4 linked regions of the Struthio camelus genome follow. The protein of the gene in region 4 interacts with the protein of the main gene of each other region in a pairwise test. Links are inferred from orthologs where the notes say so. Each region holds a gene or a part of one and is shown on either strand. Other genes may lie near its edges. The genes, in order: PRKAA2, LMO2, CRACR2A and TLE5.

Evidence for each region.
Region 1: the proteins of TLE5 (region 4) and PRKAA2 interact in binary tests that used the Homo sapiens proteins (3 or more experiments, as listed by UniProt). The two-hybrid records come from large-scale screens. The link is inferred for Struthio camelus from reciprocal best matches to the Homo sapiens genes TLE5 and PRKAA2.
Region 2: the proteins of TLE5 (region 4) and LMO2 interact in binary tests that used the Homo sapiens proteins (3 or more experiments, as listed by UniProt). The two-hybrid records come from large-scale screens. The link is inferred for Struthio camelus from reciprocal best matches to the Homo sapiens genes TLE5 and LMO2.
Region 3: the proteins of TLE5 (region 4) and CRACR2A interact in binary tests that used the Homo sapiens proteins (3 or more experiments, as listed by UniProt). The two-hybrid records come from large-scale screens. The link is inferred for Struthio camelus from reciprocal best matches to the Homo sapiens genes TLE5 and CRACR2A.

The regions. Positions count from the first base shown.
Region 1 is NC_090949.1:33,363,469-33,371,274, reverse strand, and holds the start of PRKAA2 (5'-AMP-activated protein kinase catalytic subunit alpha-2), read right to left. Parts: upstream 3,011-7,806; 5' UTR 2,988-3,010; coding exon 2,894-2,987; intron 1,765-2,893; exon of another isoform or gene 1-1,764. UniProt on the Homo sapiens protein: Catalytic subunit of AMP-activated protein kinase (AMPK), an energy sensor protein kinase that plays a key role in regulating cellular energy metabolism.
Region 2 is NC_090946.1:33,638,157-33,645,955, forward strand, and holds the start of LMO2 (rhombotin-2), read right to left. Parts: upstream 3,013-7,799; 5' UTR 2,771-3,012; coding exon 2,764-2,770; intron 2,662-2,763; coding exon 2,484-2,661; intron 1-2,483. UniProt on the Homo sapiens protein: Acts with TAL1/SCL to regulate red blood cell development. Also acts with LDB1 to maintain erythroid precursors in an immature state.
Region 3 is NC_090942.1:87,986,235-87,993,677, forward strand, and holds the start of CRACR2A (EF-hand calcium-binding domain-containing protein 4B), read right to left. Parts: upstream 3,009-7,443; 5' UTR 2,666-3,008; intron 1-2,665.
Region 4 is NC_090967.1:7,814,052-7,821,150, forward strand, and holds the start of TLE5 (TLE family member 5), read right to left. Parts: upstream 3,017-7,099; 5' UTR 2,915-3,016; coding exon 2,888-2,914; intron 1,294-2,887; coding exon 1,196-1,293; intron 1-1,195. UniProt on the Homo sapiens protein: Transcriptional corepressor. Acts as a dominant repressor towards other family members. Inhibits NF-kappa-B-regulated gene expression. May be required for the initiation and maintenance of the differentiated state.

The sequences.
Region 1 (7,806 bases), on a different chromosome or scaffold from region 4:
TATACAAGTTTGAGGGCGCAGGGCGAGAACTTTTTTCCTATCAATCAGCTGCCTATTCCAGCCCTTATCGTAGCCCTAAGTTAAACATGAAATCAAGGGAAAGCATATATTTAGCAAAGCTGTATTAATTCTGTCCCACTGCCATTTGCTTAAACCTTATATCATCCTTCCCTTCATCTGTTTGGTCTCTTTAAATTTATTATCCCTGGTTGTCCGTCAGTAGCAATTATATAGTGCCTTGGAAAAGGGGATCTGACCCTGCTCAAGCCCAAAGGTACCAAAATAATAACCAACGCACACATATCACCAAAGAAATATAGGCCCTTGAGGGACCACAAAATTGATCACCTTGGTGACCAGCAAGCGTGGGGACAGAAACCACCAAGTGGCCACCCAGGACTTCATGCGTGATACCACATGAAAAAATATTTGCATTACTCAGCTGTATTTTGATTGAAACTCTCAAAGCAGCAACCACCATGAACTCCATCGTGCAACCTCTGTGGTCGCAGGGAGAGCAATGGGGTGGGATATGCCTAAGGAAAACACAGGAGCAATTTATCTCATCCGTTCTTAATCTCACCATGCTAACGAGTGAGGTACCACCCTCTTCCTTCCATGCTTCACTCAATGTAAAAGCCAAGAGAATTCCCTTACAGCCACCTGAATTTTATTTCCTGCAAGTTAATCTCCAAAATCCTGCTCTCATCTACCAGGTGCTTTGCTCTCCTCGCCTTGCATGTGCCAGCGCCAGCACTTGCGTGGTCTCCCCCTGCAAGAGGGTCGCAATGACTTTTTCTGTAGCAGCTCTGGTTTCTGATGGCTTCAAGTGACTACTCAGCTACAGCCACAAATTCAAGCTGTGGTTAGTACAGCAATTTCACAACCCCCTTCCTCCCTGCTTCTAATGCCATTTTCTTTTTCCTTAATGACTGTAATCTAATTTATGATTTCTTAACTTTGGAGGGTGAGGCAGGAAACCCTGCTTCTCACAAAGTCTAGTGCGAGCCAGAGTTTGAAGAAAAAACAGCAGCAAAAAAAAAAAAAAAGTAACTGATGGCATCTCCCTCCATAGTTAAAAAATCCAACAGGCAGAATCTCTTTGTTTTGTTTCACGTTTCCTGCTAAACAGGATGAATTCAGGGTATTCTAATGCTGTTTTGATTAAGATGCTATAATGCCATATAAACAGCAGATCTAGTTTCTTCATCTAAGTTTCCAGTCTCAAGTCCAAATTTCGTCTGTCAAACGCAGACTGATGTTACAGGCAACATGCTGAGGAAAAGAATATATATGTGTATAGGGTACCACTTAACCATAACTGATTTTGAGTTAGGAAATCTCCTTTATTTTAAATGTCTCTTTGGAAACTGTCAGGTTTTACAAAAATCGGGCTATATACAGCGTGTGCGTGGTGTTCATGCTAGCTAGTTGAGAAAGGTAGCTAAGAGAAAAGGCTACTGTTGGCAGGCTTAACTTGTTCTGTAGGGGGAAAAAATTGCCTTTGGAGCACTTTTGGAGCTCTGCTCGTACACATGAGTGATTTACATGGTCCTCACTGTTAGAAGTATTTATTCTGATAATTCTTTAGGCAGTGGATTTGTGGGTTTAGATGAAACAGAGTAATATATTTTTAGGGGTCTGATTAATGGTCACGGGTGGATTTAGCTCCAGTGGTGGAGGTGGCTCCTCTCCCCTGCTGTCAGTTTTGGTTTATTTTAATGCCGCAGTCCCTGAGCGTGTGCACATCACCCGTTTGACCAGCCACAGGATGCCGCCGGTAACTCCAGCAGCAGGGCAGGGTGCACAGCGGAGGGTGGTAGCTGCTCTGCCAGCCGTACCTAAATCATCAGTCACAGCTCTTTGTTTTGCTTAGATGCAAGTTTTGTACAGTATCTTTGATTTTTTTAACTTGGTTCAAAGGTAACAGTTGCATGCAACAGAATTAAATAGAAAAAGAAATACAAATCTTTGCAAATCTTCCAGTCAGGTAAAGTAAAGCTGGTGCTTTACGTGAAAATGAGAGTTGTCTCCTTGCTGGCGTGAACCACGCGGGAAACCCTGTGTGTGAATGAAGCCTGACCCAAGTTCTCCACCGCTCCTGCCTCAGGCCTTGTCTCCCCCTGCCCCGTGAGAGTGGCTTCCCGCGCTCCCAGCAAGGCTGTTGGCTTCCCAGGGCGAGAGGTACCGCGACAGCAGAAGAAACCCCTTCTGCTCCCGGTTCCTGCCACCCGCCCGGCTGCGAAGCGCTTGTCCCCCCTTTCCCAAAACCAGCAGAGCGGCCCCAGAGGGATGGGGACGCGCGGGCTCCTGCCCGAGGCGCGCGCTGCCGCTCATCCTTTGCGTCCATCACCCTGCCGCGAAGAAGGAAAGTTTGCAGGGGTGTGAGGCAGGCGCTCGGGGGGACGAGGAGGGCAGCAGCTCGCAGGGACCGTCCGGCCGCTCGAGGGAGAGCGCGGGTGCCGCCCGCGAGCCCCGCACCCCGTCTGCCCCGGCAGAAGCGTCCTGCGCTCGGCGCGTGCCACGAGCCCCCGCGGCCGAGGGGCTGCGCGCCCCGCGGGATGCTCCGTGCCCCGCGGGATGCTGCGCGCCCCGCGGGACGGGCCGGGCCGGGCCGGGCCGCGGCCGCCGAGCGCGCTCCGCGCTGCGCCCGCCGCCCCGGAGAGCCGCGCGCGCAGGCCGCGCCGAGGCGCGGAGCGGGGCCGCGCACCGCGCCGGCAGGCGGCGGCGGAGGAGCCGGGCCCGCGGGTGCGTGCGCGGAGCGGCCCCCGGGGAGGGGAGCGGGGAAAGAGGGCGGGGGGGGGGGAGCCGCGGAGGGGGCGCGGAGCCAGCGCTCCCCCCCCCTCCCCGCGCCGCGCCGCCCGCCCTGCCCACCGCGGCCGCGGTACTCAGCTCTTGACTTTGCCGAAGGTGCCGACCCCCAGGGTGTCGCCCAGCACGTAGTGGCCGATCTTCACCCGCCCGTCGTGCTTCTGCTTCTCGGCCATGTTCGCCCCCCGCGGCCGGACCACAATGCACAGGGCCGGCCGGGCGCGGTGCGGCGCGGCGGCGGCGGCGGGGCGGGCGCAGCGGGGCGCCGCGAGGCCACGGTGGGGGGCGGCGGCGGCCTCCTCGGGGGGCACCTGCCGTGGGGGGTGACATCTACCGGGGGTGACACCCTTCCGGGAGTGACACCTGCCTTGGGGGTGATGCTCTCCTCCCGGAGGGGTGGGGGGGATGCCCTCCGTACCGTGCGCTCTCCGTGGGATGGTCCCTCCTTAGGGCACACCTGGCTCTGGGTGGCGGCCAGCTTGGGGTGCACCTGCCCAGGGTGACACCCTCCTGGGAGTGACAGCCAGGGTGATGCTCTCCTAGGGCTGTGTCCTCCTTCTGGTGCACCCTGCTTGGGACGATCCCTCCTAAAGGCACACCCAGCTGGGGATGGTAGCGAGCTTGGGGTGTATCTGCCTGGGGTGGCACCCTCCTGGGAGTGACACACCCCTGAGGGTGACATGCTCCTTGGGGTGTATCTGCCTGGGGTGACACCCTCCTGGGAGTGACACACCCCTGAGGGTGACATGCTCCTTGGGGTGCATCTGCCTGGGGTGACACCCTCCTGGGAGTGACACACCCCTGAGGGTGACATGCTCCTTGGGGTGCACCTGCCCAGGGTTCGGGATGGGGCCTTAGGGCTGGAGAGCCTGCCCACCTAGGAGGGATGTCGTGGGGTGGGGGCATGGTGCAGCTCCTGCCCTGTGGGGCCCAGCCCCAGTTCTGGCGGGAGATGAGGTGGGAGGGTGGACAGGGCTGGTCACAGCGCAATAATGGGGATGGTGATGGGATGAGGGACACTGGACACGTGGTGGCAGGACTGGGCAGGCTGGCAAAATTCAGCGTTGGAGCAGTTGGATGGCAGCGTGGTGCTGAGTGCAGAGCAGTGGTGGTGCCAGGTCTCGGGACCCTGCCGCATTGAGGCAGGACGATGGACCTGTGGATGTCTCCATGCTGCCTTTCACCTGTCTGCAAGCAGCGGAGCTTGAGCACACGTGAGTGTGTTCACACGAGCGTGGCTGGGACCGGCTGCGTTTGGGTTGGTGGTAGCACTACCACCCCGGGCAGCTGTCAGGCGTTGCATTGCGTGGTGGTGGTCAATAAGTGGTACTCGCTTGGCAAAGCAGACACAGGAGCTTTCTTGTTGGTCAAAACTATATTAACATAAAGGAGCAAAACAGGTTCAAGGGGAAGGACACATCGATACATTGATAGCTGGTGCGGCCAGCTGAAACCATCTATACCTGCTCACAGCGCTTCCCTCTTCGCAGCTCCCCTACACGGACACCAAAGCTGGCCTTTGGGTCACCACCTTCTCTGTCTCCCTTTTTGCTTTTCTTCTCCTCCGCCGTTATGTTCTGTTCATGTCAGCTGTTTCTCATTAGTTGCATCTTTGCATTCTTCCCCACTCTGAAATTACCTTCTGACCACCCCCAGGTCCTTCCTGGAGCCCTTCTTCTCCTCATCTTGACTGGGAAGCCCATTCTGGTTTTCTCCTTCCCCTCACCTCCCTCTTCCCAGGCACTCCGGCAGGGGCAGGTCTCCAAGGGAAGTGGTTGGTGTGAGGGGCTGGTCGGGGGCTCTACTCCAAGTGGCTGTAGCCGGGCTTGGCGCCCGCATGCCCCTTCGGGACTGCCCCGTGTTTCTCACTCAGGCTTCTGGGGGAGGACTCTGGCTGGGGAACTCCAAACCCACGCCGTATTGTGGACCCACGTGCAGTAAGTGAGGCCGACCGGGAGCCTCGTTCCAACCTTGCACTTAAACCTTACTGTAGACACATGCTGCGAGTTGCTCGGGGCAGACGTAACAAATGTTCCCGTGAGCTAACAGCTCGTCCTAATACCAGCGTTATCCATTCTTTATCGTTCAGCCCTGCGACAGCCTGCAGTCAGATAGGGTAATGCTATACATTAAATAATAACACAGCTGCTCTAGGCAGGCTACCTTTTCTCTCTAGAATTTCTACCTTGTTAGAAATGTAGTCTGGAAAAAAAATATGTGAAGCGAACACCCGCTTAGTGATCCCAACTCTCCTCTCTAATGAACGTTTCCTCCTTTTCACTCATCAAGACAACTGCAACCCAGAAAAGAAAACTCTCGCCATGCTCCGCAGCACCAGAGCTTGGCAAGCAGCCGGCACAGGAGCTTTCGGCATAAGGGGCTGGCATGAGGCCACAGCTGGTGTCACATCCCTGGTGCTGGGGCAGGCAGGCCATCGGCAAAGGCCGAGCAGGGGCTCTGGATCTCCGGGCCGGAGCAAATTGGAGCCGTTCCCCTGCTCAGAGGGTGTAAGGTTGCAGGGCTCAACCTGAAGCACCAGCACCAGGGAGCTGTGCTGGGTGAGGGGTTTAACTGTTTGTGTAGGAGCTCAAACCTGTTTCTCCTCCAAGCAATCGTCTGCTTGACATTTTCAGATGAAAGTCCAGAAAGTTGATTAAGCAAATCTGGACATTCTCCATAATCTTCTAAACAGGGCATATGAACTTTGCCTGGGCCGCACAAACAGATCGTGTTGAAAAACATGCATGCTCATCCTAACCACGCAGCATGTTTGAACACTAGTCTTTTAAACCTATTTGGAGAGTAGTATTGTTTTAATAGTGCTAATTCCGATTTCTTCAATATTAAACTTTCTCATTCAGTCACAAGAAATAGCAGAAGGCAGGCGCGAAGGCAATCCACACTGTGAAACAGCGAGGAGATATTTGGGAAGTCAGAATGGGAAGCTGTATAAACAAAAGATACCTGATAAAATAATGACGAGCCTATGCAGCTATACCATGGTAAATAATCAGAAGATGATTTAATTCAACAGATCCAATAATACAAATAACAGTGGCAGAGTAGAAACAAGAAAGCTGATATAATACAAAACCATATGTACTGTAATGAAACCACATCTGTTTAATCAGAGTGATAGACCTACAATAAAGCATAAGAGAAACAGCACTTAAAAATAACATTAGTGTTTTCTTGTCTAAAGCTTACTGTCTCCTGCAAAGCCTATGAAAATGCTGTCGTCTTTAGGCACCTGGGTAAGTATGGGTCTGTGCAAGTCTGCACCTTGCAAAAGCCTCCAGCAGCTCTTTCCTGTCTTTGCGCACAGGAGTCCGTGCGGCTTGTCCGATCTGTTTGCTTCCAGCCTTGGCAAGCCCTGGCTTTGCCCTAGTGGAGCACCGCAACAAATAGGTGAGGTCTCACATGGTATTTCTTGACCTCCTTTTATATTTGAACGGAGCTGCTGTATGTAAATGTGCTATGTTACCCCTTGCTCATTGCCTAAAAGCTGGTGACTAAATCACCCCACGGACGTGCCTCATGGTGCATCATGAGCATTTCTGCAACCCATTCCCCACCTACCAGTTAATGCAGCCGTACGCTGTGTGCAGTTAATACAGCGCAGTCCCCACATCTGCAGTGTCATTTGTCTGCGAAACACGCTCATATATATACCTTAACCCTTCCTTAGCATTTTTTACACTGCTGGAAAACACACTCTATACTAGAGTATAGCCTGAGTAACCAGGCTGATACAACCTGGTCAAAGCCCAGCAGCGAGGAGCTTCCTTGGTACGCACCAGCTACTTCTTTACCTTGTTACTCAGTAATCCATTATGCACACAGAAGTTGTTTAATAGAAATGTTGAATTAAGATTGTGCAATCAATTTTTTTTTAATTTAAAGGCTATATTTTGTGTGTTTAAGGTTGTATTTGTGTGTGCGACTGTATAGATACATATGTAGATATATCTCGTGCCCCAGTGGGGAAGGGAGGTGTGTTGCTAGCAGCACGGCAACAGGCACGAGATGAAGGGTCTCGAGTAAAACGTGTGAGGTGGGAGAAGTGTTGCTAGGAGATGCAGACTCCAGTGTCTGGCGAAGCAGCATTTTTATTTTTGGTGTAGATCAAATGAAATGTCATTTGACTGCGAAGCAGGATAGAAATCTCTTCCCCTTGCTTGCCTTCATCTCGGTGAATGATCCGTCCGTGCCTGGTGGTGTTGCAGCTTGTTTAAAATAGAAATCAAATGCAAGCTGGGTGCTGTTAATTAAATGCTAATGTAACCATGCCTCCTAGGAGCATCCCAGTTAAAGAGTGTATCTGAGCTGCAATTTCTTTGCAATCCCTTGGGCTTTTATTTATTTATTTTATAATTATTTTTTTCCCTCCACTCTTGGACAAATCCCTTGCTGAAGCAGCGGGATATATGTATGTCTCAGTGTGTTTGGGACAGAGCTACAAAGCCTCACGCATGTGAAATGCCTCCTGTGCAGGGCTTGCTCTCTGCCCTCGTTTCGTGATGCTGAGTAGGGGTGTGATTTCTCGGTCCTGCCGGAGCTGAGCTTCTGGGCAAGTCCCAACGCAGCAGGAGAGGGAAACTCTCCTGCACTGGGGAGCAATTAGACCGCACCTTTAGGATGTGGGGTGCTCGCAGATGCGCTCTCCCTTCGGCGGATGGGAACCGTGGGAGTGCCAGCAGCTCTGGCGGAGGCTCGCTCCGTTCTGGCGTGCGCTCGAGTTTTGCTGGTGCTGTTCTCGGGCACCAAACGCCCTCCAGGCAGTGGGCAAGGGACTTTCTAGGTGACGCAGGGCCAAGGAGCAGGATGCTGAGGACTTGGGTCTGTGCCCAGACGGAGCTGGGTGCTGCTTGCAGCAGTGCTGGCTCCTGTCCCTGGTGCGGAGCCGGCAGAAGGGCTCCTACACAAGCGCCTGGAGCAGATACCCCACTTTTCGAAGGGTTTCAGTTTGGTACCTGGAACCTCTGCACTCATTTA
Region 2 (7,799 bases), on a different chromosome or scaffold from region 4:
AGCAGTAATTTTCTTCAAATCAACTTTCTTAAGGAGCTCTCTTCCTTGCCTCTTCGTGTAATGTTATAGCTTCTGCCAAAAAAGATCAGCAAAAATTAAAGGAAAGCATCTGAGCTCAGTTCTGCAAGGTTTGCAATGACCTGACACTGCCACTGAGGGCCTCATCCAAACCCCAGGGAAGTTAATAAAAAGACTATTGGATCAATCCTTTAAGCACTTGCTTAATTTTAAACCTGTGGCTAGTGACAAGGAAGTCACTTGTTTGTACATTTATGCTTGTCTGCTTTGCTGGATCTTGACCAAGGAGCTCAATGACTGGCAGATGTAGCCCCAAATTGTTTAAGACATTGTTCAGTTCTTGCTGTCGCACACTGTCTGTCAATGCTTTGTTTCTGTCGCTGTTCTGTCCTCCTTCAGGCTGGTGAGGGCAGAGTGCAACTACACCAACAGAAAAGAATCAGGCTACACCGAGTTTCCAGCAGGCCATAGGAAAAATTATTTTACTACTGCTTCAAGTGGGTTTATGTAGACTGTTGTCAAAGCTTATTTACTGGGTCAGCAGTTTTCTAGGCAAAAATTACTTTCTTCAGCATGCAGAAATGACCAGCAGTTGAAAACTTCCATGCTGAGAAACTGATCCTGCAGTTTCTATTTAGACAAGCTGAGCTCTAAGATATTATCTGATTATATCCCATTCTGTTTTTCACTCTCCAAAGTTTAAACTGCTGTGCCCTAAAAGTTTTCTTATAATATCCCACCCTTCTAGCTCTCTGTACCGTGCGTTTGCATTAAAATTGTAGGCTGTCTGCTCTTAGAATCATGGTAAGTGATCAGGCCCCACTTTTTCAAAGTTTATTCCACATGCTTCCCTTCCTAATGTGTGGGCTACCCACGGACAAGCTCTGAGAGCCTTCCAATAGAACATGCAACTGTAAAGGAATAGACATTATTATCCTTTATTTGAAGCTTCAGATGTACCCCAAAATCTTTAATCTTATAGATGGTTCAGGAATCACTAGCCAGTCTCTGAATGCCCTAAAGTCCGGAACAGCCTGACGGATGTTTACGCGGAACAGAATTTCTGTTTTAAGCATTAGCATTTTGATGTTCATACATTGTAAAGCCAGTACTTAGTCAATAGAACACAAAGTAGGTAAATAAATAAATACGGCTAAAACTTTTGTAGTTCAAACCTGGATGCCATATACCTGGGAAGTTAGGATGATCATTTCTTAAAAACAATATGAAATAAAAAATGTAACAAATGCAAAACATCAAATGTGACATGGCATGAACTGATTTAATCCACATAAGAAACACTTCATGTGTTCACTTGTGGCTTCAAGGGAAGGGCCCAAGTGAAACAAATCGGAAATGACTAAAGTTCACTAAGAGTAATGTTTTAAGCCTTATCTGAAAATGGGGATTTTACAATGTTTTTCTTCTCTCTTATCATGATGCTAGACATCTGTAACTGCAGTTATTCAAATGTACAGCGCTGAAGTGACGTGGTGGTACTCTGAGTGAACGTGCCTCTTGCAAGTATGGTGACTGCATGTGCTTGGATTCGGAAGGGATGGGACGGCTGCTGAACACAGATTGAAAAAGAGGGTCATAATGTGGGAGTCAGTCCCTGCCATGAATGTGAAAAATAGGGAGGAAAATTCTCATCTTCTGCATCCTTCCCGTCAATCAAGTCTTTGTACATGGCCAGTGCCTTTGCAGAACACCCTGCCCCCACCAAAGCAGTTCGTACAAGCTCTTGAAAGTTGCAAAGTGCCTCGCATCATGAAAATGTGGAAGTTGGGCACCCATCAGATAACAGCTCCGACCTTTCGCTGTAATCAGCTACAGCGAGTTGGACAGATCAAACATGGGGCAGAGAGCGAGGCTCAAAATGAAGACAAGTTAAGCTCTGGAAAGCATTATGCCCTCCGTCTCCCCCAGTCGTTCCCCGCAGCCCTGCATCCCGAGACCGGGCGGAAAATGCCCTGCCCCGTGCGGGATTGCGCCCGGAGGTTGCTCCCAGCGGGTATTTCCCAGAACTTGGGGGCTCCGATCAACTCAACGTGGGGCCGGGGCCGCCGGCCGCACCCGCAGCCCGCGGAGGCGCCGGCGGCTCGGGCAGCCCGGCCGCCGCCGCCCGCCCCGGGCCCGGGCTGGAGCTGCCACCGGGGGCTGCGGCGCCGGCTGCCGCCCGGGGCTGTTAGGCGGGGCTGCCGCCCGCGGCTGGCGGCCGGCGCGGCGCGGCTTCCCTCCCGCGGGGCGCCTGCAAGCCGGGGCAAAGAGCGGCGGGCTGCTGTGCTTCCGAGCCCCCTTGCCCGCCGCCGGGAAGGGACGCCCCAAGCAGCTCGCCGGGGCTGACACACACAATGACGGTGGTGAGGGAGCTCGTAAAGTCCCTGCCGAGCGCGCCTCAGCGCTGGGGAGGATCAAAAGGCACGGGAAGGGCTGGGGAGGCTGAAAGAAAAGAAGCCACTTACTCGGAAGGATCGAGGCTTTTCCTCTCGATGGCCGATGACATTGGCAGGGATGGCTCCTTTGTAGTGTGCCTGTGGTGGGATCTGCCCCCGCTGCCCCCGCAAAGGCTGTCTGCTCTTGAAGCCTTTTCACCAGCTGAGTTCCCCCTCCGCCCCCCAATGACATTCACAGGATTTCCTCCTGCAACACCAAAGAGAGAAAGAAATATGGGCTGGGGCTGCTGCCGCCGCGGCCGCCGTGCTGCGGGCTGCGTCTCCGCCAGGCTGACCCTTAGGATCTAACCTCCCATGCTTGCCCCGCTCCTGCGGCGCGCTGGGCGGCGGGCAGCTCCCGCCGCTGCGGCTGGCCCCGCCGGCGGCCGCCGCCTGCCGCGGCCGCCGCTGCTGCCTACCCCGCGGCTCCCTCCGCTGCGCTGCGCTGCGCTGCGCTCCGCTCAGGCTCGCTGCCTGGGCAGCTCTGAACGTGCTCGGGAGAGGGGCGCATCGGCTGCGAACGTGGAGACCAGCATCATTATTATTACTCTAGCTCAGCCCCGAGTCTCTGGTTTCATTTCCTTTTTCCTGATCACGATTCAAATACAATAGAAGGAAATCGCACTTAAAGAGACAGCTGCCCATTTCTTAACTGGACTCCGGGGGATTTAGCAATACAAACAGCAGCATCACGACTCAGTCGGTTTCTTAAAGAGACAGAGCTCGTCTCCCCAGAGCTAGGGCTGGGAGCTGACTTTGCATTTTCACAGTACGCTCTAATTTAGGAATACTTTATCAGTAAACCGGGGGTGCCCGGATAGTCGTGTAACCTGAAAATGATCCGAAGGGCTTAAAAAATTCAAATGTCTGGCTCCATCTTTATTGGCCTCTTAGCTCCACACATTACCAAAGCACTAGCGTCGTGGTCTCTCTTCTCTTCCTCTCCTTCTCTTACCTATGCACATACCCACACGCACTCATGCTTTTGTACAGTATTTGAGATCTATGCATAAAGACACTAGGTAAGAAGCTAAGTATTATTTTCTACCTAGGATTCAAATGGGCCAGCTAAACTGTACCTGTCTCATTTCTTACTCTATAGTGAACATTTATGGGTGTCTACTCCTAGGTGTCCCCACCTAGTTCTTGGTAAGTCATATAACAAATTTATATCTTGATGCTGTTTGATGGTAATGAGCTGTAAAAGCTCGAGAGTACAAAGTATTGATCTGTAATTAATCACAGAGAAGCTAAAGATGGGAAAGTCTTGCTTGAACATCTCTATTTCCCCTCCTAGCCTTCCTCCCCCCTCCTCTCCGTCAGCACAGCACATCCCGGAAAGGACTGATTTACAGTGCTAGAGTGAACACTATTACAGCAATTATAGCTTTTTTCCATTCTCTGTGGCATTAGATACTGGCCATAGCTGGCGGCAAAATACTGGATGAGATGAATTGCCTGCCCTGTTAATTCTTTTAGATACAGTAAGAAAGATCTGTAATAAAGCACTAGTGAATAGCAGTAGAAATACTTACCTTCTATATTAATTCCCAGATCGGAAATATATTTGATGTCTGTTTTTATGACTAGATTCTCATTTTTTCAGCTTTTTTTGGCAGCTAGGGATATAATATCTGAAATACATTAATGAGCCTGATTCAAAGACTAGTGATGTCAGCAGAACTGTTACTCATTTCAGGGGGCTTTTAACCAAGCTCTCACAATTCTTCAGAGCCATCACTGGTCATTAGAACACTTATTCTTCAAAAAAGAATTTGTATCCTTTAAGAAAGATTTCTTATTCTTTAAAAAAAAGATAAATAAAACAGAAAAGATAAAGAAGGTCAATAAAAAGATATATAAAAAAGATAAAGGAGATTCTTATATTTTAAAAAAGTTATCGCCACTGTATTTTAAGCTATTACAGTATGGCAGTCACACTTATAACCAAATGTTTTTGTTAAAGGAAAAAGCTTCTTTGTTAGAAATATTTAACCACGGGGAACTTTATTAAGAAGGTTTAAAGAGATCAGAAATTGAATTTAATGGGGGACCAAAAACTTGTATAAAGACTTCAAACACTTAAAAAAGAAAGACAGTTCTGTGAGCTTGGTGTCTCCTGGCTGTGTCTTAAGGTCTAATAAGGTATAAACTCCGAGTCACATTGGCAGGCTAATTGCAGTCTCTCCCTTCTACTTATTTTCCTCAAATTTGCAGGAAATTAATATCTTTAAGACTTCTGTCACTCTGTCTATCTAAAAGAGACCAACTGGTTCAAAAGTTTTGGTGAGGGATAGACACGTAGACATTGACACATAAGGAATTACTTTCTTCCTTAGAAAAACAACCTAAAACCAAGGAGGTAAAAGATAAAGTGGCCAGTGATTACTGGAATATGTAATTTTTCAATCTTTTGCAACACCTATATTCCTCGATTTGATCAGGCTCACTGAGGTCTGGCAGATAACCTCACTGAAGCTAATGAGATATTTCATATACTCAAAGTTGAGTGCATGTTTACGTGCTTTGCTGGACAGGGCAAGAATGCTTCATGCCTTGCAAGATCAATCCCTTAACTGAAGGAAGCTTTTCTACCTAAAACAATGGAATAGTGTGTAAATAAAGGAGCTGAAGAGCACTATTTGCTCATATTTTGTCATCCTTTCAGTCAGGTGCAGAGCTTGGCTGAGGCTTTCAGATCCAGAACAAACTTCCTAAGGAAAGTCAGTTCTTCAGGTGGATACTACTTTTGATAGTGCTGATATCTCTGCATGCTTCCGAGAGATACCACTTCTCTGCTTGTCTGAAAAGATGTGTAGTGATGACCCCAAGATTATTCGTTGTTTTCTTTCTTTCCTATAAAGGAGAGATGCTAGGCAAAGTAGTGTGAGAAGAACTAGGAAAAGTGAAAAAGTAGTCAATTTGCTGGTACATAACATAATAAATGTGTTGCTCCACTGTGCTTATTGGGAGAGTGCTTGAACTCAATCTGCTTAAACAAACAGTAATCAGGAAATACTGCATGAGCTGTAAAGTTGTCATGGTACCTTGAACAAACTGCACAGCAAAGACGCAAGGTAACACTTGGCTCCATGCATCAGGTGGAATTTCAAACTAAACCAAAAGCTTGCTTTGCAAGCATCAGTGTGGCAGAAGATAAACAGAAACTGCCAGGAAGCAGTGTCCTCTACTGATGGGTATGTACCAAACTGTTGTTGGTTTTTCGCCTGAATGGAATTTCTGTAAGCACCTTTTCTTCAAACTTTCTGTGGTGGTATTTATTGGCAGCTCCAAGTGCACTAACAGTAGAAAGCCCACCAAGAAGGTTCTCTGCATTCTAACCTAGGAACTGTTTTTTCCAACATCTTTTGGGGAAGGAAAATGTATTATTTTCTGGGACAATTCAAATTTTCTTTTATTAGGTTTATATATAATAGACCCTCGCTCTGGGCAGTGAAACTTGGCATCTTCACCAGAGGAGTCTTGTGTTCCACCAGAACAGGTGACCAGTAATCAAGAGTGGCTTCTTTTTTTCAACTTGGGAGAGTCCCTTAGTACCTCTGTGCCTCAATTTTCCCATCTGTAAATGTTTACTTCCCTCAACAGAATCTGTGGTTGATTTACTTTTGCCTCCCGCAGAATTAGGCTCATAAAGACAAAACATTATTCAGTTTTAGTATTTGTGGTGCCTACATTTCCTGCATAGGGACAAAAAGACTAGTACTATTTTTAGTGGGGGATTTTCTTTCCATTGTCCCTTTCTCTGCGAGGCTGTGTTTTCCAGTTCTATTTAGTGCAGCTTTTTATATTCATTGACAGACTGAGGGATGAATGTTGATTTCAATTAACTTTTATGAATGTAGATCATACTATAGGCAAATTCTTGGAGCATTACTAATATCAAATCCAGTGTTATTGTTTGCATTTAGCTTTCAGTGCTTGCAATAAAATGTTGTGAATAATTTGACTAGACTTTTCTGTATATTTCTCAGTAAGACTATTTTATGTAAACCTGCATTGTTTCTAGGAGTGATGTCATTGAAACAAATAACTAAATGTGCCTCTTTCCAAAGAAACATCCCCTCTTGAAACTGCTGAATGTTTTCACCTTTGTTTTGGAACTCTGCTCATTTGAGGTCCCAGGATTCCCTCTTGTGCTCAGTCTCCGGTTGTTCCTGCCCTTATTTCATCTTTAGTATATCCTAGCTTTATTTCCCCTAGAGCTGATGGATGTCGGTATTGAACTATTGAACTATTTCAGCTCACTCGCATTTGGAGAAGTCTGAGAATAGTAAGATTAACTTTGCTGCCCTCAATAGTCAGTAATGTTTGTTGCCTAAAATGCAGCTGATGAAGATTTAAGTCTCTGCACAGACACAAGAATTAAATCTCAATGACTGTGGTCTAGATTTTCTGTTAGTACTTGCTATGGGGTAGAAAAGTCAAGACCATGGCTAGAGTCTAATGATTAATATGAGAGGTGGGGACGAAAGAGAGATAATGACCTCTGTAATCTTGGCTCTGTTTTGCCACTTTGATCTACCATATGATGTTCAAAAAGTCACTGCTCCATTTGATTCCTCAGTTTACCTATTTGCAAAATGGAAGAATTCTTCCTCCTTCTCACCACAAGCTGAGCTGAAGCTTTGGCATAATGAGGTCTTTGGTTGACGTTCCAAAGAAATGTAAAGTTGTTTTTTCTTTGGGTTTTTTGAACACCATTTTGATACTCTAAAACAAGTTGGGAGGCTCTGAAGCAATTATGTTTGTTCATGTCTGGTCCCTATTAAAGAATACAGAATACTTGAGGAGAAATATCAGTCAGCTACTGCTGAGGACATTTGACTGGAGAATCAATGCTGGATCAATAGCAAATCATATTGCTGCCATGTTGCAGCAGCAGTGCATTGCAGAAGTGAAAGGCAACACATAATACAATAAAAATACATTTTTTGCTTTTTCATGGGCATGGAAAACTCTTTTTTAGGCAAGAAGTTATGTTACATGTGTTCTCTCCACGAGCGCTGCTTTTTCATATGCAAGACTACATCTTTTTCCTAGTTGTACTAGGAGCTCCCTGCTAGCATTCTTTTTAACTTTCCTGGGGATAGAAGTGGTGATAGCAAGGACAGGGAGTTTTCCTGGAGTGAAGACCATAGGCACTAACCTTAATGTCTCTGGAGGCTCTCAGTAAGGCATGATTTAGAGGACTTAAAGACTCCTGACTAAGGATGCACTTCTCTTTTTTGGGGTTAACCTTTCCTTTGAACTGGAAAGAAACAAACCAGAACAATAAAAACCACACTTAGGGTGAGGTTTGCCCTAGGATTGTGAAGTTCAGACTTT
Region 3 (7,443 bases), on a different chromosome or scaffold from region 4:
AAAGAATAATCTGAGCTGGTACATGTATCCAACTCACTTCAGCCCCAAAGCTCCAAGTGAGCGTAACCTGGTTCTCAGTGTGCCTGTCTCTCACTGTGCCTTGTATGGCACAATGAAAAAGCCAACAGGGAAATTACGATTTTGTCACTGTTTGACATTTTTGCCTAGTTCCTTTGCTTGACTTTAGAAAAACTGGGGAAAAAAAATTACTTTCAGCAGGTCTCTCTGAGAGGATACGCTATTGGCAATGGATCACCAGACTGATGGTCTGATGTAAAACATTTGCTGTGTAGACTGGAAACTCTAGGCCTGATCTGGACAGATCTATGTCTGGAGAGAGCTCCAAAGTCTTTAACTGAGTTTCAGTCAGTTTCTCCACGCAGGTGTGCTGCTGTTTCTGCATGGATGAGTCATGAATGGTGGAATCTATTATGCTGTTACTTCAGGTTTAACTTAAACTGATTAAATCTGCCTTTTTAATAAGAAAAAAAAAATCTGAAAAACCCTAACTCCCTCCTTATATGTCGATTTATACAGTCTTACATATTTATTCTGCAAATTAGCAAAGAACGTAGAGGGGAATCTGGGCAGAGTACCATATTCTTTACCCCTCCAAATGGCCACCATTTAGTCATCTGCAAAATCATGAGAACATACCATTTGTCAGTGAACAAAAACAGGAGGATGGAGTGAGAGATCTGCAATAAGCACCATATAAATCCTGTGGGCTGAGGAAACCACACGAAAAGCTTGCATAGTAATGCTGTCTAGTGCATTAACTTCTGCTTCTTTCTTTACAGCTCTTTTCCAGCTCACCACAACATAGGAGGAAAAGGGGGAGGAGAACTGTCTCAAACAGAACGAAGTATATCATCTCCTTCATTTCATCTGCAATGAATTTAAATCTCCATAGATCAGGAGACTAATCCTCCACATTAGGAGACTGTTAACTATTACTGCCCTAAATTTCTTTTGCTACTTAATCAGTGGCCAGAAATGCATCTGGTCCTTGTACTTGAAATACTGACTCTTTTTTTTTTTCATGTTAGTAAACTGTGTTTTGTGTTAGTAAGTTGTATTTAGTGCAGAGAAGACTGACATTTAATTTTCACTCTTTGGGGTGTAATGGTTATCTTCTCAAGTTGAACAACACTGAAGTTCCAAGAGAAGTCTGCGGACCAGATATCTGAGTGCTTAGGACATCCCACAGACAACTGATAAACTTTTACCAATACACCAGAATAATTCATACAACCCAGCTAAAAGGAAAAGTGAAACTAACCTGGAAACTGTGGTTGAAAAACACCAAGTTGCAAAAAGAAAGTAGAAAAGTATTTTAAATTAGTCAGAGTGTGTAACTTTGGAAGAAAGAATTGCTAAAGATTAAAATGCTGAATTTCAGAGGGATTAGACCATTCCCCAACTGCAGCAGTACCCAAGTTTCATTATTTGTGGTCAAAATCTGTTATACTGCTCACATATATTAAGAAGCATAATAGTATCTTGGCAACAAAAAGTTCCTTTATAACTATCATTTAGAATCATCAAAAATGTTCAGTATCAAAAAAGACAGAAAACTAAATCAAATTTAGTTTGACTGGTGGCAAATTACTCTAAGAGAATACAAGCGTCATCTTTGTAACTATCAGCAACAGCATTGCTTTTGGCTTCAGTGAGCGTTTGGTGGGTCTGTCCCCCACCATGAAGGCAGTCACCATCCACAATGCAGGAAGTGTACACTGGAAACCAGCTAGACAGCTCTAAAAGTAACCAGGACAGAACTGATTTCACTGTAACACTGTTCATTTGGCCACAGTGTAAAGCTACATGAGGACTGTAGCAGTAGCACTACAATGAATATCAGTTACAGCGCTCTTGGGTACCACCTTAATAATGTTCTTTATGTAGAAGGAACCACAACATTTCACATTTTAGCATACTTTGATAACTTTCTGAATGTAAGTTTCTTACCCTGTTTTGCCACAGTGTTGGTATAACTACTATGCAGAGAAGGGAAGCAGGGCATACTGGGAAATGCAGTCTCCTGTTTTGCAACACTGTGACTCTAACCTGGTGCCTTCCAGCCAAAGAGTAAGTTTAGGATTAACAAGAAGGGTCAAGGGCTACAGGTGCTGTGTGCAACACTCACAGCAGCTGAAGAATTGCTGCCTCACTACAGCTGCACTGCAGCCAGAGCAGCAGCTGCTTGCTGAGTGAGCAGCTGGGGGTACTTGGCCTCCTCTCCCAGCTTTTCTAGGCTACCTCCTGCCACACACCTCCCACCCATGCTGTAAAAGCAGCCACCACTCCCAGGAGAAGGGGCAGAGATGTTGCTTGGCACTTTGGCACAGGAAAGGCAGTGATAACTGCTATCATTTGTGAGATGCTGCTGATTCCTGCCTGGACCCACCAAGCCTGCAAGGCGTTGTCCTCTCGCAGACAGCCCTGCGCAGGAAGCAAAACTCACAACAGGCACAGCACAGAGAAAGAGCAGGGTGTTATTGAGACACCCTGAATCCGAAGGGAAGGGCAAAGCAGATGCCAGGGGTGCGTTTCCGCCAGCAGCTCAGCTAGAAGGATCTGCCAGCAGCTCTGCCAGAAGGATCTGGCTTTGCACCATCTTCTCCTCCTGTCTCCTCCCCGGACATTCCTGGCCCCAACTCACCTCCTGCTGCTCCCTGCAAGTGCCCAGGCAGAGGTACAATACGATCCCTGCTGGCTGGCCGGTGTGGTCGGCCTTCCCCTGCATGCGCCTCAGCTAGTGTGGAAGTAAGAGCAGAGGAAGGTCAAAACAACTTCCTAAACTTTTCTGGGGCGCGGGTGGCACCATCAACCACGGGCGGGCCGTGCTGCGGGGGCGGGACCGGGGTGAGCCGGCCTCCCCCATCTGCCTGGCAGCGCTGAGCAGCATTGGAGCTCGGTGTCGCGTGGCGCCAAGCGCCCCTGCGGGCTGCCGCAGCGCAGGGCCCCTCTCACCTCCGGCTCGGAAGGGCCGACCCGGAACCACTGCTGGGTCACATTGGAGAGCCGGGGGAACTCCACCAGGCGCTGCCATCCCTGGCTGCACCTGCAGCCAGGACTAAGTGCACAATGGCTTTCTGGGGGAAGTATGTGGTCTTGTCATCTCCATGTAACATAAATTACACAAAACAGAGGGGTTTCGAGGAGTGTGGGACAGCTCATCCACGCAAGATCTTACGATGCAGCTGATGGAAATGGGCCAGCTTCTCAAACTGTCCCAAGTCCAGTTGCCCATGAGGAAGAACAACAAAAGACAGAATTGATTTCACATCCAGTTGATTAGAGATTTCAAGTAGCCTAAAGTACATTTTGAAAAATGTCACACTAGGGTGTGTAAATGTCTGCATCTGGGAGCAGATTCTCTGAGAAGCCCCCTAAAAGAAGAGAAAAAAACTTGATTTAGTTCTCATCACTGCAGATGTCACATCTGCAGAAGAGCTCTTAAGGTATTGTCGTCATGATACATTCCAATTCAGCATATTTGCTACAGCAATTCACCCATTTGTGTTTGACTTCAAAATGAGCATCTTCATGAACCAAGAAATACTTAGAAGGAAATTAAAAGGGACAGCCGAAATAGCAGTACAATAGCAGGTGGCATAAAGATGTTTATAAGTATATAACATAATATAATACATTTAATCATTATATATATAACATCTGCTCAGCCATAAAGGGCTATGAAACAGCCTGCCTCCAAAACCATCTGCCTCCCAAAATTATACATGATTACATAGCAGTATAAAGAAAGCTATCAGAAGTAAAAAGCTCTTCAGAAAGCAGTTGTTTAAAAATAAGAAAAATGGGGGGGGGGGGGGAAGCATAAATCAGCAAGTAAAATCATAAGGACAATTAAGATTTTGGAGAGTAGCTTAGGAACACTCCAGTTAACAGCAAAAACATTATCAAACAAACCAGAAGCACAAGCCTGCTGACAGAATCTGTGGGGCAAGTAGATGATAGAAATAAGGCAAAGTTATGGCCAAAGCCGGAAAAGCTAGATAAATTGATGTTCAGTATGGAAGATCAGATAACGTCCTTTTCTTTATTAAGTATGAAGAACAGTCTTGGGACTGAAGCATTGGTAGGGGAGGCTTTAGAACATAATACAACGAATTGTAACATATCACAAACACCCAAGTGTTCCAAAGGAATTTAAATATGAAAATATTGAACTGTTGGCTAAATCAGTACAGTGCAAAAGGAGTGGAAGATGATGGATATGGTTAACTACTAACCTGTAAAACACCATAATGGACAAGTTATTGACCAAACTAAAAAAGAAAACCAGCAGACGCATGAATCAACATGTTTCAACCATATTCTGTTTTCTCTTCAGATCGTGTAAATCTTTCACCTTTTACTAAAAATTTCCGTGGAGAGGAACAGGCACGAGTGTCAAGGAATTTTTTGAGGTTCTTTGAGCGCAGCTAACAGAGGCAGCGAACAGACGCAGCAGTTTGCGCAGCAGTGTCTGGGCTCTGCCTGGGCCTTTTGTGGGCCTTGCTGGAAGTTGTGGAGACTTTCTGGGGACTCCCGAGGAACTAGACGGTGCTTGCTGCTAGCAGGAAGGGAGAGCTAGGCAAGGACTCCTGCAGGGGGCCTTAACTTCTCCTGGGAAGCTCTAGGTAGGTGTGGCTGCTGCTAACGAGCTCTCTGGGCTGCCCTGGTCAGAGGGAGTTGGGGCTTTTGTTTCAGGTGGCTCCTGATTGGGTGGGTCAAGCACCCTTGTGAGTCACTGCTAGGCAGAGGCCTATATAAGAGCCAGGCCTAAAGTGCAGCTCCTGGAGTGCAGCCAACAGAGGCAGCAGTTTGCGCAGAGGATGTCAGAAGGCAAAGAAGGCACCTTCATTTCTTGTAGTAGTGTGTGCTTCCTCAAGTATGGTCATGACGCCGCAGAGCACATTCCCCAGTGGCTGTTGGAGTTGCTACATCACCCGTGTCTGAGGCTTCAACCCAGACAGACCCTCTGACAGGTGTCAGGCTGCAGGGAGTACCTAGGGTCTTTCTATAAGGCCTGAGCTGACAGCCAGCTCTCGTGCGCGAGGTGTACTGTGGTTGATCAGTTGTACTGCCAGGTAAAGGAGTTATGGGAGGAAGTCAGTAGGCTGTGTAGCATCTGAGAAGATGAGCAAGAGATTGACAGGGTATTCTCGGAGACTGTGCAGCTCCAGGAGTCATCGGTACATCATAACGCTGTTGAGGAGGGCTGGAAGCTGGTGACCTCTCGTAGAAGGGGAAAGGCTCTTGCTCCTCCTCAAGAGTTATCCTTGAAGAACAAGTTTAGCGCCCCCCCCCCCCCCCCCCACGCTGAGGAGGAGCTGGGCATGGCTCTGAGGGAGGCAACGGGCCTGGCAGACCCTGTGTCGTGCAGGAACCCCCGGAAGAAGCGGCGAGTGATTGCTGTGGGAGACTGCCTGCTGCAGGGGACAGAGGCACCTATCTGTCGACCTGACCTCTTGTCCAGAGAGGTTTGCTGCCTGCCAGGGGCTCGAACAAGAGCTGTCATGGAAAGACTGCCAAGGCTTGTCCATGCATCAGACTACTACCCTCTGCTGATCTTCCATGTGGACACTAATGACACCAAGGGCAAACTGGAAGCCATCAGACAGGATTTCAGAGCTCTGGGAATGGTGGTGAAGGGTCTGGGAGCCCAGGTCATTTTCTCCTCAATCTTGCCTGTGAGGGGGAAGGATGGGAGGAGGAGTAGATGGATTTTCCAAGTCAACAACTGGCTGCGCCTGTGGTGTTGCCAGCAGGGTTTTGGTTTCTATGACCATGGGACCCTGTTTGAAGATCAACAGCTGATGGGGAGCGATGGGATCCAGCTTACCAAGCGGGGCACACGCGTCTTTGCCAACAGGTTGGCCAGCCTGGTAAGGAGGGCTTTAAACTAGGCAAGATGGGGGAAGGGGAGTGGTATAGTGGCAGGGGAGTCGGTAAAACACCGCTTGAGTCAGGATGCCTCCAGCGGGTGCATACAGCCAGGGGAGGCGGCCTGGAACATGGCTATGGAGGCTCCTCTTGCACCTCTCCTGGGAAGCTTGCGTGCTTGATTAATTCTCTGAAATGCCTGTACACCAATGCGCGCAGCATGGGGAATAAGCAGGAAGAGCTAGAGATCTGTGTGCGGTCACAGGGCCATGATCTCGTTGCAGTTACAGAGACATGGTGGGATAGTTCACGGGACTGGGATGCTGTCCTGGATGGCTACGTGCTTTTTAGGCAAGACAGGCCAGGAAGGCGAGGTGGTGGAGTTGCTCTTTATGTGAGGGAGCAACTGGAATGTGTGGAGCTCTGCCTCGGGGTGGATGGAGAGCAAGTTGAGAGCCTATGGGTAAGGCTTAAAAGGCAGGCTAACATGGGTGACACAGTGGTGGGGGTTTACTACAGGCCACCTGACCAGGAGAAAGTTGTCAATGAGGCCTTCTTCCGACAGCTGGAAGTAGCCTCACGATTGCAGGCCCTAAGTTCTCATGGGAGACTTCAACGACCCTGACATCTGCTGGGAAGACAGCACAGCTAGGCACAAGCAGTCAAAGAGGTTCCTGCAGAGCATTCAGGATAACTTCTTGACCCGGGTGGTGGAGACGCCAACGAGGAGGGGTGCAACGCTAGCCCTTGTACTAACAAACAAAGAAGGTCTAGTTGGAGAGGTGAAGGTTGGGGGCAGCCTTGGCTGCGGTGACCGTGAGATGGTGGAGTTCAGGATCCTGCGAGGAGGGAGCAAGGCAATGAGTAGGATTGCAACGCTGGACTTCAGGAGCGCTAACTTTGGCCTCTTGAGGGACCTACTTAGGGGAATCTCGTGGGGTAGGGCCCTAGAAGGAAGAGGGGTCCAGGAGAGCTGGTTAATATTCAAGCATCACCCTCCTCCAGGCTCAAGATGGGTGCATCCCTCTGAGGAAGAAGTCGAGCAAAGCGGGCAGGAGACCTGCATGGCTGAGCAAGGAGCTCCTGGCAAAACTCCAGCAGAAGAAGGAAGTGTACAGAATGTGGCAAAGGGGACAGGCCACTTGGGAGGAATACAGGGACGTTGTCAGAGTGTGCAGGGCTGCGACAAGGAAGGCTAAGGCCCATTTGGAATTAAGCCTGGCAAGGGATGTCGAGAGGACAACAAGAAGGGCTTCTTCAAATACATCAATAGCAAAAGGAAGACTAGGGAAAATGTTGGCCTGCTGCTGAATGGGGTGGGTGCCCTAATAACAAAGGACACAGAGAAAGCAGAGATACTGAATGCCTTCTTTGCTTTGGTATTTACTGCTAAGGCCAGTCCTCAGGAATTCCAGATCCTGGAGATGAGACAAAGTCTGGAGAAAGGAAGACTCTCCCTTGGTGGAGGAGGATCAGGTTAGAGATCTTTTGTCTAAACTTGACATCCATAAATCCATGGGCCCCAATGGAATACACCCATGAGTGCTG
Region 4 (7,099 bases):
GCCTGCATGCGCTGTGGTTTTATGTTTCAAACAAGAAACAGCTTCACCTACACAAAACCTGTTTCTCTTCTAGCAGATTACGTCCAAGTGCGGTGGCGGGGGGGAAAGCCTCCCTTCCAGTGGACATATTTCTTGAGGCTTCCTGTTCCATCACTGGCACTGCTCAGAGGCGGAGGGAATCCAGGAAATAGCCATTTCTAAGCTGTTACTCTGATTGCCTTCTGCCAGAATGACATGACTACAAACCTATGACCCAGTTGTCTGGCAGAGCCCAGGCCAAGGTGAAAGGTACATAAAGGCACAGCAGGGCTACACAAACTGCCATAGCACCGTGGCCACAGAGGCACATGCTACAACCAGGTCTAGAGGCCTGCTAGACCATGACAGAGGGCATCACTGAGTTGATTTAAGCTCAGAGTTTTGTGTTTCTTAAATAAACACACACACAAAAAGCAACAAACCATCACAAGCCAACTTTCAGGTCAGCAGAAGTATTTCCACTCTCACATGCACAAAAGCGGAAGCATTTGGATTTAAGTGCTCCCTGCAGCATTTGTAATCCAAGAATGGCAGCCAGCGAGAAGAACCGAGGAGAAACTCCCAGCAAGACATGGGAGGCCTGGCAAGCCTCTGTGCAGTCCTGGCTGAGCAACACACAGAGGGAAGTCCTTGGCTGGAGAGGGAAGATTGAACATTCTCCTCTCTAGGCTCCTAAGCGGACATGATTAATCCCTTCCCTGAGGTCCCATTTTAGACAAACATGACCCGAGCTGTACGATCAAGTCCCTCCCTTAGTGTTCCAGTTCGGTCCACACTGCAAGGCAATGGAGCAGAAGAATCAAAGTGATTCTTCTACGTCTTGCCACTGCTTGTCAGCCCAGCAGTAAATCTGCTGAGCACTCAGTGCAGTTGTCCCTGGGGAGCCCAGGATGGGCGCAGCAAGCTCCTCCTCTCTTGTGGAGAAAGTCCCCCCAGAAGGTGAGGGGAGGGGGGTCCTTGATGACCTGACACAGGTCATCAAGTTCCTGCAGGGTATATCCCACCAACCAGCGCCCAGGACGGCACTACCCAGGGTACAGGCACCCGTGGGCGCTTCTAATGGTTCTTAGCTCTATGGAGAGCAATGCTCAGAGTTCCCTGTCCCAAGACAAAAGTGTGGAGGACACTGGGACCTGTGACACACAGGAGCACCCACCTGTGATACTGGGCCTGCAGGAGCTGGAACTCATCTTTGATCCGGTCGCAGGAGTCAGAGGTTGTGAACTTCAGCTGTTGTGGCAGGTGAGAGGAGCCCTTGAACAACACATGAAAGAGCGCTGGGCACTGAGCAAATGCAGGGGTGGGAAGGGAAGCCAACACATGCTCCTTCCCACGAGCACAGTTTCCTTCTCAGCTACCTAGAGGTGCCTGTGCTGGCCTGATCCCACCACGCATCCCACAGACACTAAAGCACAGATTTGCTTTTTCAGCGGTACATCTAACCAGGAGCACAGATCATTTTAAAAGCAGGACGGAAGCTGCCACGAGGAGACAGAGAAGGAGGTGACACCCCCAAGGGCCCTCCTGGGGAAACAGCATGGTCAGGCCAGGGGGACATGCCCAAGGTCACCTGTGGGAACTCGGACGCAGAAGTTTGGCCAGGGTCCCTTTTCCAGGTTTTATCTCCACAGTCACCTTGCACTACAGACAGGGAAACGGAAGCGGGAGGAAGCTCCTCCTGGGGCTGGGACCCACATCTCTTGCTCGCATCTCATCCCCCCAAGCTGTCCTCTCCCTCAGCTGGGAACAAGTCCCAGGGCTCTAACCACAAAGCCACCCGCCGCCTTCCTTAACAACTGCACAGAGACAGTAACCAGGGCATCTCTGCAAACAACAAACACCCCACGCGCGAACGGGAGCCAGGACTGTGCGGAACGCCCTGGCGGAGGGATGGGGGGCCAGGGCTCGGGAAGGGGGAGGAGACCCCCCGCAAAGCCTCCCGCTCGCTCCTCGCTGCGGCGAGGAGGCAGTCAGCCAGTCAGATCGGGAGGCAACGAGGGCTCCTGCCAGCACCGCGGGGGGGAGAGACGTTGCAGCAAGAGCCCCCGAGCGAGCGCGGGATGCCGGGGCCGGGAGCGCTGCAGCCGCTCCGCCAGAACATGGAGGCGCAGAGGCAGCCGCTGGGACACGGCGCGCGTCACCCCCGGGGCGCCCTGGCCCGCGCCCCGGCTCGCCAGAACCGCCCTCGGGGCTCCACCGTCCCCTCGGACCCCCAGCCCCCCCCCCCCCCGGCAGCTCTGCCCCCCCGGACCCCCAGCACCCCCCAGCAGCTCTGCCCCCCCCCGGACCCCAGCACCCCCCGGACCTCCAGCACCCCCCGGCAGCTCTGCCCCCCCGGACCCCCAGCACCCCCCGGACCCCAGCACCCCCCGGACCCCAGCACCCCCCGGACCCCAGCACCCCCCGGACCTCCAGCACCCCTCACAACAGCTCTGCCCCCCCGGACCCCCAGCACCCCCCGGACCCCCAGCACCCCCCGGACCCCCAGCACCCCCCAGCAGCTCTGCCCCCCCCCGGACCCCAGCACCCCCGGACCCCCAGCACCCCCCAGCAGCTCTGCCCCCCCCGGACCCCAGCACCCCCCAGACCCCAGCACCCCCCGGACCCCCAGCACCCCCCGGACCCCCAGCACCCCCCGGCAGCTCTGCCCCCCCCGGACCCCAGCACCCCCCAGCAGCTCTGCCCCCCCCGGACCCCAGCACCCCCCGGACCCCCAGCCCCCCCTCACAACAGCTCTGCCCCTCGGCCCCCAGCCCCCCCACCACCCCCGGCCCCCCGCCGTCCTTCACGGGCCCTGCGCCGCCCCCAGACCCCCCAGACCCCCCGGCCGGGCCCGGCCCCGCCGTACCGAGTGCCGGCTTTGTGGAAACATCATGTCAGGCTGCGGCTCGGCCCCGCACGGAGCGGCCCGCTGCTGCTGCCGCCGCCGCCGCCGCCGCCGCCCGCCCGCCCGCTGCCGCCGCCGCCGCGGCGCCCTGGGCCTGGGCCGCCGCCGCCGCCTTTGTCCGCGCCGGGCCCGGCCGCCCCGCCCCCGCGGCCGCCCCGCCCCGGCCGCCCGCTCGCCCGCGCCGCTCCCGCCGCCGGCGCCTATTGTCTAATGGCGGCTGCTGCTCCGGCTCCGGCTCCGGCTCCGGCTCCGTCCTGCGGCTGCTCGGCACCACCTGCCGCCGCCGCCGCCTCCCCGGGCCGGGCGGGCCCAGAGCCGCCCCCGCCCCCGCCGCGCCCGCCCCCGCCGCGCCGGCCCCAGCAGCCCCGAGCCCCGGCCCCGGCCCCGGCCCCGGCGGCCCCCGCCCCTGCAGCCCCGAGCCCCGGCCCCGGCCCTGCCCGGCCCTGGCAGCCCCAAGCCCCAGCCCGAGCCCCAGCAGCCCCGAGCCCCGGCCCCGGCCTCAGCCCCGGCCCCGGCCCCGGCCCTGCCCTGCCCGGCCCCGGCCTCAGCCCCGGCCCCGGCAGCCCCGAGCCCCGAGCAGGGCACGTGGGAGCGGCGCCGGCCTTGGCGGCCCCGAGCTCCAGGCCCCGCGGAGGCCGCTGGCGGTGCCCGGCTCTGCCCCGGGGCTGGGATCCCCTGGGGCTGGGGGTCCCGCTGGGGCTGGGGGTCCTGCTGGGGTGGGGGTCCCGCTGGCACTGGGGTCCCCTGGAGCTGGGGGTCCACTGGGGCTGGGGGTCCTGCTGGGGCTGGGGTCCCGCTGGGGCTGGGGTCCCCTGGAGCTGGGGGTCCACTGGGGCTGGGGGTCCTGCTGGGGTGGGGGTCCCACTGGGGCTGGGGTCCCCTGGAGCTGGGGGTCCCCTGGGGCTGGGGGTCCTGCTGGGGTGGGGGTCCTGCTGGGGTGGGGGTCCCACTGGCACTGGGGTCCCCTGGAGCTGGGGGTCCCCTGGGGCTGGGGGTCCTGCTGGGGCTGGGGTCCCGCTGGGGCTGGGGTCTCCTCCAGGGCTGGGGTCCCACTGGGGCTGGGGTCCCCTGGAGTTGGGGGTCCACTGGGGCTGGGGGTCCTGCTGGGGTGGGGGTCCCACTGGCACTGGGGTCCCCTGGAGCTGGGGGTCCCGCTGGCACTGGGGTCCCCTGGAGCTGGGGGTCCCGCCAGGGCTGGGGTCCCGCCAGCCGGTGTGGGTGCTCGGGGCAGCGCCAGCTTTTGCTGCGCACCAAAACTTCCCGCCTCCTGCAGCGCCTGGGCCGGAAGGGCCCCAGCCCGCGCAGCAGCGCCGGTTCTCGCGGCTCCCCGGTCGCGCGGGGAAACGGGCGCCGGAGGGAGGAGGCCCTGCAGCCGCCTCGGCTTCGCGCCGGTCCCAGCCGCGGGCCTGGGGCGGCACCATCGCGCCTGGCCCGCGTTCGCGCCCTCCGAGTGGGAGAGCAGGGCTTGTTTGCGCAGGGTTTTCCTTTTGCTTTCTTTCGGCCGTGCCTCCTGCCGGGGCCGGCCAGGGTGCAGCCCGCCGGCGCGAGCGCTCCGAGGGCTCCGGTCCGGCCGAGCTCGCCGCGTGCCGAGGCTTCACGGCCGAGCCGGCGCCGCCGCGGGTGCTGCCGGCGGTTCCCCCGGCTCCGTCCTGCTCGGCGCGCCGGGGCCGGGACCGGGGCCGGGACCCACCGGCGGCCGCGGGCAGGAGGGAGCTCGTGTGCCGGAGCGCGCGGGGAGCTCTCGCCACCTTCAGAGGCTGCTCTGCCTCTAGCTTTAAAAATCAGCACGCTTTCTGATTAAAAATAAAAGCCCGGACGTCATGACTCCAGCGACGCGGGCTGGGCTGTGGCGGTGTTTATTTTTAAAGAGAACAATATAGCAGCCGAGTTATTGTGACACCTCCTGCGTGCGGCGCGGTGGCTTTTTTCCTTCGCCGTCTCCGTGCTGGAGGCAGCGGTGACAGCTCCGCGCCGAGGACTGTCAGCGGCGCAGGCGGGCCCGGCGCCTCCGCAGCCCGGGGGCGGCGAAGCGGGGGTCCCGGCCCCCTGCGAAGCCGGGGCGCCGCGCGGGGGCTCGGCCGGGGCCGCGGCGGCCCCTCGACGGAGCCCTGCTTCCCCTCGGCTGTTTTATAGCTACCGCGTCGGCGAGTAAGTTAAGCGCCAAGAGGCCGTGCAGCGTGCAAGCGCCGTGGTCCAAACCGCGCGTCGGCAGCCGGGGCGGCGCGGCTCCCATCTTGTTCTAACTTGCTCCCTTTAATAAACCCCCTTTGGCGCAGGCCCTCCTTGCTGCTCCCGTGGGCTGCAAGTTCGGAAGAGCAGACCTCTTCTATCGCCGCGGCGGGCCGAGGCCTGGGCCGTGACGTCGGCTACCCCGTGCCACCCATCGAGCGTGCGCGCAGGAGGAGGTGGCCCCTCACTGCGAGGCAGGGCTGTTTTTCCCGTTTGGCAGACTGTTTGCCCGTGGGAGGCGCTGAGGGATGGTGCTGTGCCGTGTCGGGCCACACCGTGCTGTGTGCCGTTGCACTGTGCCGTGCCGTGCCGTGTTGCACCGTGCCGTGCCGTGTCACACTGTGCCGTGCCGTGTCGCACCGTGCCGTGCCGTGTCACACCGTGCCGTGCCGTGCCGTGTCACACCGTGCCGTGCTGTGTCGCACCGTGCCGTGCCGTGCCGTGTCACACCGTGCCGTGCCGTGCCGTGTCACACCGTGCTGTGCCGTGTCGCACCGTGCCGTGCCGTGTCACACCGTGCCGTGCTGTGTCGCACCGTGCCGTGCCGTGTCGCAGGTGGCTGCTCCCTCCACTTTCGCCCCCGGGACGCTGCAGGTTTGGTAGCGATGCAGGCGGAGACGCACGGCAGGGTGAGGCCTCCCGGGCCACTGTCCTGCCCGACCAGCCTGGGCTACGCACGCACCCCCCAGCTGCGAGCCGCAGCCCTCGTCTTGCCTCTCCCCTGCTCCTTCCTGTGCGGCAAGTGCTCCTGCAGACCTTACAGTTCCTTTTTCAACAGGAGTGGAATTTTTTCCAGCTGAGATAAAGCAGCAAAGCTGCCACAAAACAACCTGAAAGAGCAGATGTTTCCCCAGGGATGGTGCTGCCAGCGCCGCGAGGTGTTTGTCCTTGATGGAAATGGGACCAGGCTCCTCCTGCAGTTTACGAACTTCCACGAGCAACAATAATCATTATAAGAGCAGATTAAACTTCCCAAAAGATGAGGCAGAAGAACTCTTCCACGGTGCTGGGCCGTCAGCGCGAAGCTTTGCTCCAGCATGGCAGCGCTGCCCCTGCGATGCTGCCTGCACCCGGCAGCGGCTCCGACCCAGCCCTGGGCAAGGGCCGGGGGCCGTGACCGTGGGGGGGGACGGGTGACGGGACCGGGCACCCCGCACCCCCGAGCCACGCCGTCCCCACGGGACCCGCCACCCTGCGTCCCCATCACGCAGCCCCGCTGCCCGTCCACCCCGGGCGGGTTCAGAGCTGCTTGCAGTTGCTCCCTTCCAAGAGGAAAATGAAACGTTCCTTTATGGGCTTTTATGTTGGCTACAAAATGTTCCACTTTATGTTTTTTCTCTCCTTGCTTTCTTCCAGGAAACACGCTAATTTATGGCATAATCTTGGCAAATCTCAATCCAGGGGAACACAAACCTGCTTGTGCCTCGTAAGTGACATTTTAATAGGCTCCGTTACCAGCAGGCTGAGGAATCTGCATCTCAAAGGGGGGAATTATAATCTCACCCAAGCGATGGGTCCGCACGTCGGCAGGGGTGGACTCGGCCCCGGGAAAGCCTGGCCCCGAGCAGCCCAAAAGCAGGCCCTCGCCGGGGGATTCCCAGAGCCCACGGCAGCCCGGGCTCCGGGAGCGGAGGTTTTCCAGGGCGCTCCGGGAGCCGGCAGCAGCTCCCCGGTGTTTTTGTCTGCTGCGGGGACGGCAGTGCCGGGAGGCTGCGGGGCCGGTCCCTCCCACACCGCCCCCCTCGGCCAGCAGTGGGGTCCGGCCGGGCCCCCTGGGCCCTGCGCTGTTCCCGGCGTGGCCGGCAGGAGCGATTGCGCGACAACGTCCAAACCAGGCTGAGCAACTTCCCCGTCGCTCCTGAAGGGAACAGCCTAACCAAGCTGCTGAAAATAAATCCGTTTAATGAAGAGCCTTTGTAAATTATTCAGATATGATATCCCGCT